2 linked regions of the Notamacropus eugenii genome follow. The protein of the gene in region 1 interacts with the protein of each later gene in a pairwise test. Links are inferred from orthologs where the notes say so. Each region holds a gene or a part of one and is shown in the gene's direction. Other genes may lie near its edges.

Evidence for each region.
Region 2: the proteins of LSM1 (region 1) and LSM4 interact in binary tests that used the Homo sapiens proteins (3 or more experiments, as listed by UniProt). The link is inferred for Notamacropus eugenii from reciprocal best matches to the Homo sapiens genes LSM1 and LSM4.

The regions. Positions count from the first base shown.
Region 1 is NC_092872.1:622,810,563-622,814,162, forward strand, and holds the start of LSM1 (U6 snRNA-associated Sm-like protein LSm1), read left to right. Parts: upstream 1-899; 5' UTR 900-1,149; coding exon 1,150-1,381; intron 1,382-3,600. Other genes in the region: BAG4 (BAG family molecular chaperone regulator 4), read right to left, coding at 456-761. UniProt on the Homo sapiens protein: Plays a role in the degradation of histone mRNAs, the only eukaryotic mRNAs that are not polyadenylated. Probably also part of an LSm subunits-containing complex involved in the general process of mRNA degradation.
Region 2 is NC_092875.1:67,413,761-67,417,580, forward strand, and holds the start of LSM4 (U6 snRNA-associated Sm-like protein LSm4), read left to right. Parts: upstream 1-1,107; 5' UTR 1,108-1,717; coding exon 1,718-1,720; intron 1,721-1,865; exon of another isoform or gene 1,866-3,239; intron 3,240-3,820. UniProt on the Homo sapiens protein: Plays a role in pre-mRNA splicing as component of the U4/U6-U5 tri-snRNP complex that is involved in spliceosome assembly, and as component of the precatalytic spliceosome (spliceosome B complex).

The DNA.
Region 1 (3,600 bases):
AGCGGTGAGGGGAGAGGGTGGAAAGGGCCTGTGCCTGGGGGGGGGAGCAACCTAGGGTCCATTCCAGACCCCCTTCCCAATGGCTTTGGAGGCCTCCCCTGGGCGAGCTCAGTTAACCTGGGCATTTGTGCAGAGCGGAAGGCTGCAATAAACGATTTACGATTTCTTTTTCAGCTTGCTTTACCCCCAATCGCTGCTCGGTGAGACACCATCACCCAGGCCACAAACCTTGTCCCTCCTCCCATGCTCCAGAAATAGGAGACTAACGAAGCTGGGATCCGTTAGAAGCCCTCCAACAGGGTCTCACCCCGGCGTCCCGGGCCTCTGCAACGCGACCCCCGGGGCCTCATCTCCCTAGGGACCAACCACCCCCGGCGACCCCCTCCACATCAACCCCCTCCCCCCGCGCACGGACGACTCCAGTGACCCCAGGGGCTGGCCGGATCGGGGATTACCTGGTGGCCTCCGGCCCGGCACGGGTCTGGCCAGGCGGCTCCCCCGGGGTAGTAGCCCCCGCCACCTCCGCAGGCTCCGCAGGCTCCGCTGCCTTCCCCGGGCCACACAGCCTCCGCCGGGCCGCCTCCGCGCATCCTCCAGGGGCCAGGAGGCGGAGGGGGAGGCGGCTCGGGCCGCGATGAGGCTGGAGGCCCAGGCGGGGGCACGTCTCCAATGCTGGGTCCGGGTCCGGGCCCAGCCCCGTAGTAGCGGCTGTAGCCCGGGCCGTCGCTGGGGCCATATCCTGATCTCCTCAGGGTAGACATTGGCTCCGCTAAGCCGCCGCACTTCCCGCTCCCCCCACCCCAAGCCCACTGCGCAGGCGCCCGCTGAAGGCAAAGAACAAGCCTGGGAAAAGGGGGCGGAGCCAAAGCAACCAATCGCCGCCCTGGCTCCTCCTCCGCGGGAGTAGCGTTCATGGTCCACACGCTGACCAATGAGGCTGAAGGGGGGGGGGGGGGTCTATGCTAGTTCGGGCCAACCTTAGGAATTGAAGTTAGAGAACTGAGAAGGGCAAGGCGCACGTTCTTCCTCAGCCTAAAGAGGAAAAACGAGTTCCCCACTATCTAATGCGGTCCCGCTCACATCTCTCCCCCTTCTCCTTTCTCGGGGGCCTGCGCCGTACGACCCGCCCCCGAGCATGGGAGCCACGTGATGCCGGAAGTGGGCGGGGTAGGGGGAACTTCCGGTAGCTCCTCAGTGACTGCTGGCGGCTGTGGACCTGCGGGTACCGGCCCCGCTGAGGAGGCTGAAGCGGAGGGAGAAGTAGGACGCGGCGGGTCCGCTCCGCTCCTCCTCTCCCCACCGTGCCCCAGCCCAGCCTCCCCCTCCCGGTTCAAGATGAACTATATGCCCGGTACCGCCAGCCTCATCGAGGACATTGACAGTGAGTGGCCGCCGGGCCAGTCCCCCTTCCCTCGTCGGTCCGCCTCCTCCCTCGGGCTCGGGTAGGGCATGGGCCGAGGCCGGGACGCGTCTCCAGGCCGTAGCCCCGGCCCTCGGGCTGCGGTCCGCGAGCGGCCGAGGCCTCCCTCTGACCGCAGATCGCCTGGGGGGGAGTTAGGCGTTCCGGAGTCACGCGGGGTTTCTTTTTTGCCCTTTTGTCTGAAGAAGGCAATGGAGGTCATTCAGAGACTCCGACACCGCTTTTCGACCTGAGTACTCCCCACAAATTCATTAAGTGCCTGCGATTTGCGAGGCTTTTGTCCCCAGAAGCTTGGCCCAGGTGGGGAAGTCTTTAGGCCATGGCAACTCTGGAAGACCCTTTACTAAACCCCTGGAGGATGGGATTACGATCTGTCCGGGGGAAAGGTTGGCCTCGCTGATAAAAAGAAATAGCGAGGTGCGTGCCCGGCAGCGGGGAGGCGAGTGGTCCCAGAGCTCAAGAAATTGGGTGCAACAGTGAGGGGACGCAGTAAGTGCCTGAAACAGGGCGTCCGATAGTGTTCAAGGAAAGTGAGGCCCACCGTTCTCGAAGCTGTGGCAGAGACTTGTTATCTTCCTGCCCGACCCCTCCACCCCAATTCAGCAGACATTTAAGTGCCACTGTTCAAGGGTCCGAGGACACGAAGACCAAAATAAAAAAAACACACACACCCCTTTTGGAGTTCATATTCTACCAAGGAGATGTGTATACACCTAAGTATAAAGTATACGTGCCAGATTTTATCTTAGCCCAAATAGACCCTAGAGACAGCAAAGCAATTTCAAGAGGGAGAAGGAGGAGGAAAGGTCTGGAATAGGAGGTGGTACTTGAACTATGTGATCTCTTATATAAAGGCACAGTGGCAGGAGGGAGTATGTTGTGTAAGAGAAACAGCTTTAGGACCAGTTTGAATGGAATAGAGTCCGTGAAAAAAAAATAGTGTATCGGGAAATGTCTTAAAAACCAGATCATGGGGGTCCTTAAATGTCAAGTTGAGGAGTCTGTATTTTATGCTAAAGGCCATTAGGGAGGCATTCAAATGTTTTGTTGAGGGGTGGAGTGTAATATGTTCAGAGCTATGCTTCTGGCATATCAATTTGGCAGCTATATTGGAGGATAATTGGAAAAAGAACAAATTGGGCCAATTAGGCTATCCAGATAGTCTGTCTGCACAAAGTAGTGGCTGTGTAAAATGAGAGAAATAGAGGTAGAATCCCTTCACACTATTATTTTATACATACATATTTTCTCTTTCACTGACAAATTCCTGGAAAAAACCGTCTGTGCTATTTGCCTCCTTTTTTCCTCACTTTTTAACCCCTTTGCAGTTTAGCTTCCTACCTCATTACTCCTTCGATTCTGTCCTCTACAAAGATACCAGTGATCTCTTAATTGCCAAATCTAGTCCTGATCCTTTTTGACATACCATTCCCTCCTTTTGGTTTTCATGACACTGCTCTCTATTTGTTCTCCTACCTGCCTGTCAACTTTGTCTGTTTTGCTGTATCACCATCCATATCCTGCCCTCTGATAGAATATATCCTGGACCCTCTAGATAGACTTTTAGTATTCTCATCAGCTTTTCAGTGGATTCAGTTCTCTATGCAGATGTCTCACAGATCTATATATACATCCCTAGTTTTTCTTTTGAGCTCCGATCCTGCATCACCAGCTGTCTCTTAGACATTTCCAACTGGATATCCCTTAGGCATCTCAAATTCAATATGTCCAAAATTGAACTCATTATCTTGTCTTCCCATTTCTATCAAGGACACCACTATCCTTCCCATGACCTAAATTTTCAACCACTGAATCATCCTCAACTCCTAACTTTCCCTCATTTTCAAGTCTTTATCAATTCTACTTCTGTCTCATCTCTCACAATTACCACCCTGATTCAGGCTCACATCACCTTTCATCTAGACTATAGCCATCTAATTAGTCTTTTATCTCTGATCTCTCCATCCTCCACATAGCTGCCAGACTGATATTCCTAAAATACAGATCTTACTCTGTTAGTCCACTGCTCAAGAAGTTTCAGTGGCTCAGTATTGCTTCTGACTGCCTTTTCAGTTCTTCACAATTTGGCTCCATCTTTTCTTTCCAGACTTAATAAATGTTACCTCCATCATGTGCAGCGTGTTCTAGCCAGACTGACCTACTGACCTTTTCTCATATGC
Region 2 (3,820 bases), on another chromosome or scaffold:
ACTCCTCTCTCAAGTCCACATTATTTGCTCAGGATTTTTCCACCTGTGTGCTCATGTTATTCTGTTCCCTCTGTCTGAAATACCCTCCTCCCCATTGCTCCTCATAATTCGAGCCCCTCTTTAAAGCTCAATCCAAATGTTGCATCCTCCAAGTCATCCACAATCTCTTTGGTGGTTAATTTCCTCATACAGCATTATGCACTTTTCTCATGCACTTGTTACACAGTTACATTTATCATATAGTTACAGTTATTTGGACAACGAATTGAGCATCCGAAAGAAAATTACCTAGTCACACTTGCTCATTTGACAGATAAAGAAAATGAGCCACACAAAAACTCTGACTTGCCCGACAGCTATCAGAGGGCAGAGCAGAGATCCAACCTTAGGTGCTGATTCTAAATTTAGTGTTTTTTCCTCTTCCAAATATTTGTGTTAGAACAAGGGGCCATGTCCTAATTAGTCACTTAGCCTCTCTGGACCTCAGTTTCCTCGTCTGAAAAGGGATCTATAAGATCTCTTCCAACTTCCAGAGTCCAGGACAGTACTTCTCTACAGAAAAAGGTGGGATGCCAGTTCAAAAAGAAACCCCAACCATTACTAGTGTTTTAGGGTTTGCAAAGCACTTCACAAAATGCTCTGGTTTGAGCCTCACTCAAATTAAACTCCAGCAACCTTAGAGTCTCGGACCTGAAAAGATGCTGGGACAACATCTCTGTATCGGGTTCAACGCCAACCTGAAGCAGGATATTCCCCGCCGAGCATCTCCCTCCCTAACCTTCCAGGCTCTAAGGGCTGCGGATTATTGGGAGCTCTTCGTGCTGAGCTCCAAGCAGACCCTTTGCCCCCAGGGCGGGGTGGCACGGGGACGGGCAGGGCAAGTCTATTCACCGGGCTAAGACCATCCCCAGCTCTTTCAGCTCCTCCTGGGGTCTCCAGGGCTCTCGCCTTCCCCGTCACCGTCCGGCAGGTCCATGCCCCTACCCCCCACTAAACCCAGCGCTCCAGGTGTGGCCTGGCAGCAGGATCGTCGCCCGCCGTGCTTGGCACAGCCCACACCTCCCTCACCTGGCCTAGGGTTTCCATGGCGCCTCTGAGGCTTCTACCAAACATTTCCCTCACTACAACCCTGGGCGTCGGCGTGGGAAGCCCAAGGATTCCATTCCCCAGACTGGGTAAGGGACTCGAGGGTGGAGGGTCACGGCTGGCCGCCAGGCTTATGTAAGAGGGGGTGCTGAGGTCAGCGAGCAGGCCGAGCTGCCCTCTCAGAAGACGGGTGGAGGGGCTGTTTTCTTCACTCTCTGCCCTCAGACACTAAGGGCGTCTCACAGATCCGCCTGGCCGACCCGCCTGGCCTCCCGTTTCCTCTCGAGAAGCCGAAGCGCACGCAGCCAACGACCGTTACCCACAATTCCGCGGGGCGCCCGCGTCTTTTCAGCACCCTACAGATTACTGCTTTACGGCAGTTGCGCGCCCGAGGCGCGGGGTCACTCTCCACCTGTCGGAGCTCTCGGCCTCTTTTCCCCGCCCCTTCCGCCGTTCGGGATTGGGCAATCTGTCAAAGGATCGGGTAGTGACTGGCTGGCGGAGACGTCAGCCCGCCCTGTTCGGTGAGGGGCGGCCTGGAGGGAATTCTGAGTCTTCCGAGCTACTGCGGCGGCGGCGGAAGTGACCGGAACAGCCCCGGCCCTGTCCCCGCCCCGGCGCGGCCGGCACTATGGTGAGGGGAGATTGAGGGAGACGGCACGGGGCGGCGGGGACCCACTCTGAGACTCAGTCCCCGGCCCTGGCACGGGGAGGGACAGGGAGGGGGCTGGTCCTCTGTGAGCCCGAGCACAGGGGGTGGGGGGGTGGAGATCTCACGTGGGCCGGGGCGCGGCGAGACTCCCTGGCCTGCCTTCCTCTTCTCCTCTCCGTCTTCCGCTCTTCTTTTCATTCCCCTCCTTAATGCTTCCTTCATCTCTCTCCTCACTCCCCCCTTCTCCTCCTCATCCCCGCGCTCAGTTAACTCCAGTGACTTTCTATCACCGTCCCAGTCTTTTCCTGGCATTCAAAGCCTATCCCTGCCATGTAGTCTTCTTCCGGCGACACTGACCCCGCATCCTTTAGGTCCCAGCATTTTCTCCCACGTCCCTCATGCCTAGAAAGCCTTCCCTCTTCATCTGTGTCTACTGACTTCACGCAAGTCCCTTTCCCCACTCATCTTCATTTTAGTGCCTTCTTTCTGTTAATGATTTCCTACTTATCTTGTATGTATGTGCGTATTTGTTTATTCATCATCTCCCCCACTGCCCTGTGAGCTCCTTGAGGGCATGGACTGTCTTCTGCCTTTTTTGTCTCCCCAGACCTTAGTACAGTTCCTGGCACATATTTACCATTGGTAAATGGTTCTTGACTGACTGATCCCCCTCTTTTTTCCTCTTCTTCATCTCCACCCATCCTTCTTTTCATGCTCCTCCTCTTCTCCTTCATCCTCCCCTTATCCGGCTTTCTCATCTCCTTTATTTTTCCTCTCCCTCTGTCATACCTCCCCATTTTACTCATCCTCATCTCCCCAGCCCCCGCTTCTCATGTGATGTCTCATTCTCCCTTTTCCCTTCCTCATCTTGTCTTCACCATTTCATCTCACAGCCTCATCTCTCCTTTTCTCCTTCCATGTCTAATTCTTACCTCTACTCGTAATCTCAGCATCACTTTGCTTCACTTTTTCTCCTGCCCCATTTTCCTCATCCTATCGTCAACTACTTATAGGACCTGGGCAAGTCCCTTAGCCACCTGAGCCCTAGTTTCCTTCTCTGTAAAATTATGGGTTAGGTTAGATTGCCTCTGATATCCTTTAGATCCTATCATCTTTCTTTCTCTTCTTCACCTGTTTGTCCTACACCTCCTCTTTCCCCTATTCTCTTATCCCTCATTTTCATACCTTCATTTTCTTTTTCATCCCTTCGTCTTCCCTCCCTGTCCTGCCTTCATTCCATCTTCATTTCTTTCTTCATTTTCTATTCCCCTTATTTTCCTCTCCAATTTGTCTCTTTCCTCTGTCTTCCCACTATTACTTCATTTTTCTTCTTACCACTTTTATCTCTTCTCTTTCCCTGTCTTTTCTCTCATCTCTCCTCAACAGTTTAACTTCCCTCTCTTACCCACCCCAGTCTCTTCCTCCTTCCACTTTGGGTTGGGGGAGGAAGGTAGGATTTGGGAACTTGCATAATCCAGCAGTTTTTTGATTAAAAAAAAAGGTAGGGCTTCTTTACTTCTTCCTATTTGGACTTCTATAAGTTCCATCTTCCCTTCTTTCCCTGTTCTTCCTGTGCTGGGTCTCCCTTGAGTTACATAGCAGCAAACATGCACATTTGGCCATCATAGTACTCTTACAGAAAACCAACTGGGGAAGTAGACTTTGGCCCATTTTCGTGTGGAGCAGTAGCCCACGCTCACCTATGATCCTTTGGAGGAGGTTCCTCAGAGCTTTTTTCCCTTTTCTTTAGAAAAACCCTCAGATGTTTGTTCTAGTAACATACTAAAATTAGAAAGTCCATGGTCTTCCTTCTCAGACATCCCCAATGGTAGCCTTGAACCAGAGATTGTCAGAACTGAAAGGACTCTTAGATAATATCTTCTCCAGCCTTCTAATTTTATGGAGGAAGAAACTGAAGCTGGGTGCCCAGGGCCACACTGATGGCTCCCATTCCAGGCCTGTTTATACTACTCAGTAGCATATGTGAAAAATAAAATCCATAGTGCAAAGTGGTATGAAATCTTGAATGTAGAAAAAAGTAACACTCCCTTGAAGGCAAAGTCCATGAAGGGATTGGCTGTT